Linked DNA regions of Arabidopsis thaliana. The protein of the gene in region 1 interacts with the protein of each later gene in a pairwise test. Each region holds a gene or a part of one and is shown on either strand. Other genes may lie near its edges.

Region 1 (5,830 bases):
ATATTACTGATTTCTTGATTATAAAACTAAGTATTTTTAAATACAAACTTCAATATGTAAAATATGCACAATTTTAAAATAAATGTCAAAGACTTTATGTATATGCACAAAATTATTATCATGCGGCTACTGCAGATCAAATCCTAATATATGAGAAAATCACTGCTTTTCAATTCTTTTTCCTGTAACAAAATAAAATGAAATTGTTGTTTTAGTTAATTTATATACCCAAAAGACTTAAAATTAGATTTACATACCAATGATAATTCGAAAATTATGTAAGAAGAAAATAGGAAAAAAATTAAAGCCATAAATATCATTCTCGTTTTTTCAATTACACAAAATGTCATTCTCAAAGACAATGTTCATAACCGCCTGATGATACTGTTCATCAAAGGTTGACTAAACTATTCATCACCGGATTGCATCAAACATTTTCACATGTAATATATGAGAGTATTGTTGTTTTTTTATTGTATCCCCATCCAGACTTTCAGAAATCAAGTGCCTGAAGTTTCAAAACAAAAAAAGTGGATCCACAAATTACCTTTCTTTCACATCCGATGACTCACTTTGGCTGTACAGAAAACAGTTTTGTATGCTACATCAATTGATTTCCTCAAAACAGAAGAGAAATCAAGTATTTAAGTTTTACATCAGCAACATAGCATTTGGTCTAATGGTATGATATTTCTTGCTTTTGGTGCACGAGGTCTCGATCATTCATTTGGTTTTTATCCACCAACTTGTGCATTGGATTTGAAACTCTGTCTTCTATGTGTTCTTTTTATCAAGTAGCTAGCTAGGTAGTAGAATTATCAGCAATTATTTGGGTAGCTGTAACGAAGAGCGAAAAACAATCTGGTTGTAACACACATATATGATGTTTTGTAATTACTTGTCAAAAGAGAATTGTTCCTCTAGCTAGCTAGGATTAATCTGAAGAACATATGCAGTTAATAGATGATGAAGTTGTGTATACTATAGCAATCTCATTAATTGGCATATATGAACGAAGAAGGTCAGAGCTTGGGGATATAGTGAGTGTCACTCCATGAACGCCCGCACTCAACATGGGGGCTCCAATTGCTGTTGACATGGGAGGCTTTGTAGCGTTTCCAGTCACGAAGAACAAGAGTTAGATCAGAGATCTTAGCAAGGATGTGGCGGCAACAGTTGGCATGGACGGTGGTGACAACGCCCATGTCATGGCTGTCTTGGCAGAAGCCACTGAATTCGGTAGTGTTGAGGAAGCCAACGTTGAGGCCAAGCTGGTTAAAGAAACCAGAGTCTAGGAGACTCTTAAGGACATCTTGTTCCTTCATGCCCGTCGACTTGAGCCTCATGTCGTACCATTTCTGGAAGAGGGAGATGGTCTTGTTGTTGGACCTGACGTGGTAGAATCCCGTGTTGATCAAGTGTCCTCCAACCAGGCCAATACTGTCCACGCTTATCTGCATATCCAAGCTCTCGTTGTAGCTTAGTCGGGGAAAAGGGCTCCTTAGCCACATCACGTCCGTGTCCTGACATATACATACACTACTTATAGAGAAACAAATTAGGTGTTTTGTTATACATTCCAAAACCAAGGGACGGACCTAACCGTGAAAGTAAGATTGTAGCCGCGGCTGAGGACGTCTAGGAGCAAGTGAGTCCTCCGCCACATCATCTCAATGAAATCTTTTGACATATATACCTTCTCTCCCTCCAAGTCAACCCCATCGGTATCCATCTTGTAGCAGTGGAGCCTCCTGAAGAGGCAACGATCGTAGGAAGTCTGATCCGCTGCCACTAGCATCAGATGGTCAAGAAGCGGCCGAGTACCCTCTCCTTCCCAAAAACTCTCCAAAAACAGATCCAGCATTGTCCTCCCTCCTTCAACCTCCTCCACGTAAGCTTTGTTCACCATTGCTATAATCACCGTTTTGTTGTTTCCCATTGCTGCCTTGTCTAGGACCGCCTCTAGCTCGTCCACAGGATACTCTGTCCATCTCTATTTAACACAAAACATTTAAAATCTTCCTATATTTACTCTCAAATTCCGATTCTATTATAAAGTAACTTACAGTTTCGACATTGTGTAGTAGATCGGACATAGGATCAGAAACCGTAATTGATGAGAAATAGAAATATAAGGCGCCCGCAAAGAGAAGAGCAACGGCCACCGCGAGATTGCCGGAGGAGTTGAAGGAAGGCATGTTTAGGAGACTCACCTATTTTATGTGCCCTTTTCTCTCTCTCTGTTGATTCGCACACAACAATTTAACCTATATATAACCGGATTTGGATGTAACACCAAACTCAAGTCATCCCAATTTAATGTGAATATCACTGACGTTTTTAAGGTTCCTTCTCTAATACGTTACACACGAAGCATCATCTTTTGTTCTAGGGTTTTTGTGTCTACGTATTTGTATTTCTACTTTAATGTCTCCCGATTATTATCATGCGATATTCTATTTTCCCAAAGAGAATCTTATAAAAGATTTTTTCAATATTTACTTATTTATCTCAGAATAACAGGTAACAAAATTTTCCATATATTCCCATATATTTGCCTCTTAGATCTTTTATAGATAAACATTCAGCAATTCAAGGTTTTGTGGTTTTGTGTTATGTTTCAACAAATATTAAAATTTACAGACAAATCACATTCACCATAAAGCCATGAAAGTCAACTAATAGTACTAGACATAAATTTCGGCTGGTAAAGCCAAACCTATAGAGAGACGGAAGTAAATTCATATTTATATCAGTTAGGCAACAAGAAATAAATTGTCAATGGCACTTCTATTGGGGATCCTCTATGATCTTAACAAAAATAGTCAATAACCAAGAATTTGGTATAGCTCTATGATCAAATCACATTTTTCCAGAACTTTTACATACCTTTGCTTACATGCCCGATGAGGCGATGACGTACACCTCCCTTCTGCAGCTTAGCTTCAACTAGTAAACATTTCGTAATTCAGCCTCTTTTTCAAAAAACAAACTAGAAGACCACAAAAATATTTGAACCAGATTGCATAAACAACAGGGCTTTTGGTCTAGTGGTATGATTCTTGCTTAGGGTGCGGGAGGTCCCGAGTTCAATTATAGGAATGACTAGGGTCAATTCATCAATTTTCAATTACAGACAATCCATTAAGCCCTGAAAGAACTAAATATATAAGTTCTAAATATATAAGTTAGAACCCTGAAAGAACAAAATATATAATTTTAAATATATAAGTTCTAAATATATCAAGCCCTGAAAGAACTAAATATATAGTTTCAAATATATAAGTTCTGAATATATTAAGCCCTGAAAGAACTAAATATATAGTTTTAAATACATAAGTTCTAAATATATTAAGCCCTGAAAGAACTAAATCCATCAACTAATAGAACTAAATCTTAAACATAATTTCTTTATCTAAACAAAAAAGCATTCTATATAAGTTAAAGAGTTTGAACTTACTGCATGTTGCCAGCTTCATCACGAATAGAACCCTCAAAAGGTAAACAAACCCCCATGACTTAATTTCCTGTAATAACGGAGTGAAGCATGAATTCTCTTTTCCACAGGATTACACAACAACACAATGCTTCAGTGGGGGCATTCAAATACAGCATTTGGTCTAGTGGTATGATTCTCGCTTTGGGTGCAAGAGGTCCCGAGTTCGATTCTCGGAATGCCCCTTTGACTTCTTTTTTTAAGTACATGACCTATATTCAAACAGAACATACCAATCTTTAACTTATATATTTGAATACAGATTTTAACATAATCAAATTTTTTAAGTCGATGACCCAGTTCGATTCTCGAAATGTTAGATGACCTATAATGCAAAGGAAAAGAAGAACATACCAATCTATCACATCCAATCAATAGATATTAATCAGTAATCTTCACATAGGGAAGACCTTCATGTTTTGTTAGCATCCAGATAACAACGAATGATCTGCATCAACAGAAAAGAATTTTGATTATGTATCTACGGAAAATGCAAACGAAGCAACAAATCTCTGAAAGAAAAGCAAGAATGCTAATAGAAAGTACTAACTAAAAAACATAATACAAAAAAGAAGGGCATTTGGTCTAGTGGTATGATTCTTGCTTAGGGTGCGAGAGGCCCGGAGCTCAATTCTCGGAAAACCCCAATGACTTTTCGTAAATCATCTGTTCTCAATGCTAGCTTCCCTAGAAAACCAGTCCTATTCTTTCACATATAAACCAACTGCAGACCATATATTTTTCTTCCAATTTAGCAAGTGAAAAGCAAAAACAAAAAAGCTCCTTAAAGTTCTATGATCAAGTGCATAATGCAAAGAAAAAGAACATAATGCAGTTTCACGTCCAATAATGTATGTCTTTTTAACCAGTACAATTCATACAGAAAAGACAAACACGCTGTGTATGCTGCCAAAGATTGAGCCGCAGAAACAGCACGGAAATATTTAATAATCATCTAATGAAAAGCAAAGGAAAGCATAAATTCTCGTCACGGAAAAAACAGAATGCAAGTAGAATGCGTTAACATAACAAGATATACAAACAGGGCATTTGGTCTAGTGGTATGATTCTCGCTTTGGGTGCGAGAGGTCCCGAGTTCGATTCTCGGAATGCCCCTTTGACTTTTTGTAAAACAAATGTTTTAACCAGCTAACATTTCATCTATTAAAGTACAGTGTCCACCTTTACTATTAAGCCCTGAAAGTCAACTGATAGAACTAGATCTAAAACGTCAGATTTTTCAAACAAGAGAACATTCAGCATTCTAACGTCAGATTCCAATATAAATATAGAAAATTTTGAACTTATTGCATGTTGCTAGCTTCATCAAGAATAGAACAACCAAAAGTAGATTTCCCTAAAAATAGAGTAAAGTGTGAATTCTCTTATCCACAAGATCAAACAATAAAATGCTTCAATGCTTCAATGTAACTAAATCAACAACAGGGCATTTGGTCTAGTGGTATGATTCTCGCTTTGGGTGCGAGAGGTCCCGAGTTCGATTCTCGGAATGCCCCCATTGACTTTTTTCTATAGTAGATGATCTCAGTTAAAGAAGAACGTGGCTTAAAATCAGATCTTTATTTAGTACTAAACCAAAGTAAGAACTATAGAATACCCTTTCATTTCAGCAAGATAAAATATAAGGAGCTTAATGCAGACGAAAAGAAGAACATACCACTCTTCACTGTACAATCATTAAATCTTTGTAACCAGTAACCTTCATACATGAAGGACTATCAGCCAGATTCACCAAGAATGAGATGCGGATATAGAAAAAGAATTTCAATTAAGATTCAACCAGAATAGCAAACGGAGCAACAAATTTCTATAAGAAAAGAGAAAATGCTAATAGGAGGCGTTAATCGAACAACGTACAGGGCATTTGGTATGATTCTCGCTTTGGGTGCTAGTGGTCCCGTGTTTGATTCTCAGAACATGCACCATTGACATTTTTCTAATAGATGGTCTGAGTTCCAGCTAAAAAGTGATCAGAAAATCAGGAAATTCCTAGAGATTTAACACTAGACCAGATGAGGACCAATGGACCATATTACCCTCTTATTTTAGCAAGAACTAGTAAAAATACTTTCACTTTTACCATTAGACCAAATGCAATGGAAATACAAGCATACCGCTGTCACATTATACAAATATATTACCTAATGGACTTCATATGGAGAGGCCTTCATGCTTTGTAAGCTGCTGGATACCCAAGGAAAGAGCTGCAGAAGCAGCAAATTAATTGGGATTAAGCATCGAACACAAATGCAAACAGATGCAACAATTCTCTTAAAGAAAGAAAAGAATGTAAATGGAAATCATTAACTAAAC
Region 2 (5,623 bases), 5.1 Mb from region 1:
ACTTAATCACAGTCGAAAATGTTGAAGCTAGTTAAAGTACCTTTATAAGAGCTCCGAGACAAAAGGTGGAAATCAGAACTCCAGGTCCAGCAAGCAGAACCATTTGTCCCATACATCTCTACCAATGATGTAAAACAATCAATACCAGGAACCAACACAGCCAAGGAAGTAGCTCAATCAGGAAAGTAAAAACCTTGATCTGGTGCACATCCATGGAGAATGAGCTCTCGAAAAGAAGAACAGGGAGAAAAACAGCCAAAAGTAGGTCAGGGTTGATACCATTCCCTGTAAAGTTGCCATTTTTTAGAGCTCGTAATCTAACAGTATGGAGAAGAGAAAATACAGTAGCTTACAGATACGAATTCCATGGCCGAGCTTCCCAAGGTTATGCTTAGTTCCATATTCTACAGAAGCAAAAAAATCCAAAATTTAACTACTTTCTAAAATCTTCCACGAAATTGAAACTGAGCTATAAAGCTTAATGAGCAAACAAATAAGACCTAGGGATCCGAGAAAAATGCCGATGACGAGAAGAACGACGGTGTACGGAACTCTAGTGCCGTTAAACAAATATCTACAAGCGGTGCCGAGAACCAGCGAAGTTCCCGCGAAAATAACAGCATCAACAGGACTCGAATCGTTCTCAGCTGAATACGAAGAAGATGCAATTGCTTTCTCCGGTGATTTGTACGGCAACGCCGCGCCGATTATACTCGTCATCTCCGGTAGAAAGAAGCAAACGATCAATCTTTCGTTTTGCCAGTGATTACGGTCAAAGATGCTTTTACCGAACCGAATCTGCTTCGTTTAAGAGTGAACCAAGATTGAATCTAGTCTGGTTTGGCTTGACCTGTTTTATTTCGGTTACGTCTGGTTTTCTATCACTAATTTGAACGAAAATTTGAGAAATCTTAATACGTTTTTGATTAGGTTTCTGTTTTCTTTGCTAGATATGAATGTAGTTACTGGATTATACTACTCTGTTCAAATGAAGGGTACATATATTTACATGAACCAAATTATGAAATAACAAAACCGACTCACTCTAGTCTCTAAACTTAACTAGTGTCACTTTTGTTTGTTTGTTTTGATCCATACTTCAATGTATCTTGTTCAAATTGTTTGATTTTATTTTTGGTATAAGTGGCTACATTGTAATTTCTTGCTGATTCAATCTATAAATCGAAAACCTTAAATTATCCATGCCTCAAAACGATGCACGTTGTGTATAAATGAGAATTTTAAATTGTTTAGTTTCTATAATTGCTGTCATGACGTGAGATCATGCAAAGCAATTACGTACGATAACGCACGTAAAGGAAAAATGATTATCAGATTCATATATTTTTTTTTTCAAAAACTTGGTCTCGTGTAACATCATTCGTCATTCTTCATATTCACTATACTATAACCACAAAAGATATTAAAAAAATAGTCACTCCACTCCACATCTAATACAAAGAAGTAATAATTTAACTATTCAAAATTTATGAAGTGTTAATACGATAAGATTTTCGACCCAAGGAAAAAAAACACTATAAGATACATAGGTTTGGCAGAACAATTAGTTCGCTCACTGCCTACATATTCTTTTTTTGGTTTAATTAGCCTACATATGGGAAAATGATTTGTATTTTGTTAAATGCCACTCACATTTGTTATAAATAATTAGTCTTGGTTTCAAAAGCCATATATTTATGAATTTATAGACATTGATATTTATTTTTATGGTTGGAAATGGTATAAAGTATTATTGACTATAGTTTTTTTATGTATTTTTCTTATGAAATAAAGTGAGAAAATAATAAAAATATTAAAATTTGTGTAGCTGACTCGAGTTTGATTGAAGTCTTTGGTATATAAATATTGTCGTTATTTCCTCCATTTTTCTCCCTCTTCTCCCAAATAAAAAAAGTTACTCAGATCTCACGATTTGAGCAGAATACGCAATGAGGACACCGACGACGATTCTCCTTCTTGTCGGAGCTATCCTCTTCTCCGGCGCCGGCTATGTCAGATCCGACGCCTCCGACCACCGTTACAAGGAAGGAGACACCGTTCCTCTCTACGCCAACAAGGTCGGCCCATTTCACAATCCAAGGTAAACGGAAACATCTATTCTAGATCTGAGCTTCAGATCTGAGGTTGTTTCCCATTCTTAAGCCTGAGGATGATAAATTGATCGTTTATTGTTGAATCTGTTGCTATTGAATTGAGTAACGACATTGATAACTGAGTACACTGCAAAATGCGTAATGTTAAAACCAAAGAGTGAAAGAAGAAACTACATTTGGAATGTTTTTCGTTTATGTGATGGATCTGTCTTAGATTTGAATACTATTATATGACTGATTTTGGTTTTGTTCAATGATGATTGCAGTGAGACGTATCGATATTTTGATCTTCCCTTCTGTATCCCAGGTATGCTTATATCTTTACTAGCTTAATCACACGATTTGTGTTTAAGCCGCAACTGATTTGTGTGACATCTCCTGATTCGATCATCCCATTATTGAATATGGTTTATAGAGGGTGTGAAAGAGAAGAAGGAAGCTCTTGGCGAGGTTCTAAACGGGGATCGGCTAGTTAGCGCTCCATACAAGCTCAACTTCAGAGATGAAAAAGAGTCTGAGGTATACTGCAACAAGAAGTTGAGTAAAGAAGAGGTCAAACAGTTCAGAAAAGCTGTTGAGAAGGACTACTACTTCCAGATGTACTATGATGATCTACCTATCTGGGGATTCATTGGAAAGGTTGACAAGGATATCAAATCTGATCCGAGTGAATTCAAATATTTCTTGTACAAGCACATTCAGTTTGAGATTCTATACAATAAGGACCGTGTGATCGAGATCAGTGCTAGAATGGATCCTCATTCGCTTGTGGATCTCACTGAGGATAAGGAAGTTGATGCAGAGTTTATGTACACTGTGAAGTGGAAGGAAACTGAGACTCCTTTTGAGAAAAGAATGGAGAAGTACTCTATGTCTTCTTCTCTTCCACATCATTTGGAAATCCACTGGTTCTCCATTATTAACTCCTGTGTCACTGTCCTTCTTTTGACTGGATTCCTTGCAACTATCTTGATGCGAGTCCTCAAGAACGATTTCATGAAGTAAGTTTCAAGTTTCCTCACTGTCGACTGTTTTACACTTGTCTATCTCATCTAACCTTATTCCAATGCTTAAAAGGTATGCTCAAGATGAGGAAGCTGCTGATGATCAAGAGGAAACTGGATGGAAGTACATTCATGGCGATGTGTTTCGGTTCCCTACTCACAATTCTTTATTTGCTGCATCGCTCGGTAGTGGCACTCAATTGTTCACGCTGTAAGTCTCTCATAACTCGAATACTTTCCATCTGGATACACTTTCATCCATATCCGCATTTCTTCTTACTGTAACTAACTGTAGCTTTTCCTTTTATTCCATGTCATCAGCACCATATTTATTTTCATGCTTGCTCTTGTTGGAGTGTTCTACCCATACAACCGAGGAGCACTCTTTACCGCTTTGGTGGTCATTTACGCTCTCACTTCTGGAATTGCCGGATACACATCTGCCTCTTTCTACTGTCAACTTGAAGGAAAAAGCTGGGTAAATATTTACACATGATGAGAATCATCCCTGTCTCTCAAAAAATCATCTTCAACTGAAATAAACAACTTCTCCCTTTTTTGACATTATTGCAGGTGAGGAACTTGTTACTCACTGGATGTCTCTTCTGTGGCCCATTATTCCTAACCTTTTGCTTCCTTAACACCGTAGCCATCACCTACACTGCAACCGCTGCATTACCCTTTGGAACCATTGTGGTGATCGTCCTTATATGGACTCTAGTTACCTCACCTTTACTCGTTTTGGGTGGTATCGCGGGTAAAAACAGCAAAGCAGAGTTCCAAGCACCATGCCGTACAACCAAATATCCTCGTGAGATTCCACCACTCCCTTGGTACAGAAGTGCTATTCCTCAGATGGCCATGGCTGGTTTTCTTCCTTTCAGTGCCATCTACATCGAGCTTTACTACATTTTCGCTAGTGTCTGGGGTCACCGGATCTACACCATCTACAGCATCTTATTCATCGTTTTCATCATTCTCATCATCGTCACTGCTTTTATAACCGTTGCCTTGACTTACTTCCAACTCGCTGCTGAAGATCACCAATGGTGGTGGAGGTTCGTTAAACTCAGCTAATCGTCTCTATTCTTTTCTCTCTGACCATGAGAACTTGAGTCTGATTCTACAAATTTCTATTGCAGATCATTCCTATGTGGTGGATCGACCGGTTTGTTTATCTACGCATACTGCTTATACTATTACTACGCACGATCAGACATGTCGGGTTTTATGCAAACCTCGTTTTTCTTCGGATACATGGCTTGCATTTGCTACGGATTCTTCTTAATGCTCGGAACAGTTGGCTTCCGCGCAGCCCTCCTCTTTGTCCGTCACATTTACCGGTCGATCAAATGCGAGTAAGAAGGTCTGTACACCAATCTTCTTATGTTGATTTCCTTCTTCTTCTTCTGCCTTCTTACGAATTTTGCTTAGAACAAAGAAGATAAAGAGATAGGTTGTTAGAAAGAAGAGAGACACAAAGACAATGTCTGATTATTTTCTAAAGAAGCATCTCTTCTCATTAGAGGTTTTAGCGAGAGTCTCTCTTCTTCTCTCTTTATTTTGGGCTACAGAAATTAAATTACTTGTATCCTTTCTATATATTTTACCTATTGTAAAAGACTATCAATACCTTTGAATTCGAGTTTCTTTGTATCTAATAAATTTCAAAACACACATATTTTCTCCTTCATATATATCTTCAGTCTATACTGCACAATAAAAATAATAATTTGAAGATGTAACTAAATAAATATTGGAGAGCTAAATTGAAGTAAATTGCATATTTTTGTACTTGTTTGGATCCAATTGAAAGATCCAAGGTTGATACCACCGACATACAAGGACATAGTGTTAGCTCTTTAATGGGCCAAAATCTCGGCCCAACTATAAATGGTTTCATTGACCAATAATTAGTGCCACTGATTTCAATTTTGAAATTCGAATCCTCCTCCTTTGGAATTCAGAAACCCTAGAGTTCTTCAGCGAGCGAACTCTGTCTGCGATTTCTTGTTGATTCTAAATGGATCTCTCGCGAGAAGTCGATGACTTTATCAAAGAGACAATCGATCACTCTTTAGGGCTTCCGATATCCATGGACGTTCTCCAGAAAAAGCTCTACACGGCGGAAGAATCTCAGCGTCGTCTCCGTGAACAGTATCTATCTCTGGTTTCGAGATTGAAAGAGAAAGAAAAAGTAATCGATCTCGTTAGATCCGAAGCGAGTATGAATGCCCAGTCGCTGAAGAAATTCGTCGAAGAGAATCAGAAATTGGGAAGCGAGCGCGAGGATTTGGTGAATCAGTGTAAGAAGTGGGAAAAAGAATGCTTTCTTTATCATCAAGATCGTGAATCACTCATGGAGTTCGGGAACGAAACTGACGAAAGGGCTAGAGAAGCAGAATCTAGGGTTCGTGAATTGGAGGAAGAAGTTAGAAAAATGTCTGATGAAATCAAGAGCCGGATCGAATCTGAAGAAGATTGTTTGGTTGATTCAATATTGGC

The links.
Region 2: the proteins of AT1G28710 (region 1) and AT1G14670 interact in a protein complementation assay, tested with the Arabidopsis thaliana proteins (one large-scale study listed by BioGRID).

The regions. Positions count from the first base shown.
Region 1 is NC_003070.9:10,085,828-10,091,657, forward strand, and holds AT1G28710 (Nucleotide-diphospho-sugar transferase family protein), read right to left. Parts: upstream 3,946-5,830; 5' UTR 3,851-3,945; intron 3,709-3,850; 5' UTR 3,461-3,708; intron 3,152-3,460; exon of another isoform or gene 2,950-3,151; 5' UTR 2,890-2,949; intron 2,640-2,889; exon of another isoform or gene 2,241-2,639; 5' UTR 2,199-2,240; coding exon 2,067-2,198; intron 1,994-2,066; coding exon 1,604-1,993; intron 1,524-1,603; coding exon 1,023-1,523; 3' UTR 539-1,022; downstream 1-538.
Region 2 is NC_003070.9:5,035,720-5,041,342, forward strand, and holds AT1G14670 (Endomembrane protein 70 protein family), read left to right. Parts: upstream 1-1,856; 5' UTR 1,857-1,949; coding exon 1,950-2,101; intron 2,102-2,380; coding exon 2,381-2,421; intron 2,422-2,529; coding exon 2,530-3,115; intron 3,116-3,191; coding exon 3,192-3,329; intron 3,330-3,439; coding exon 3,440-3,596; intron 3,597-3,691; coding exon 3,692-4,176; intron 4,177-4,260; coding exon 4,261-4,480; 3' UTR 4,481-4,878; downstream 4,879-5,623. Other genes in the region: NHX8 (Na+/H+ exchanger 8), read right to left, coding at 41-118, 194-285, 354-404, 501-720; AT1G14680 (early endosome antigen), read left to right, coding at 5,142-5,623.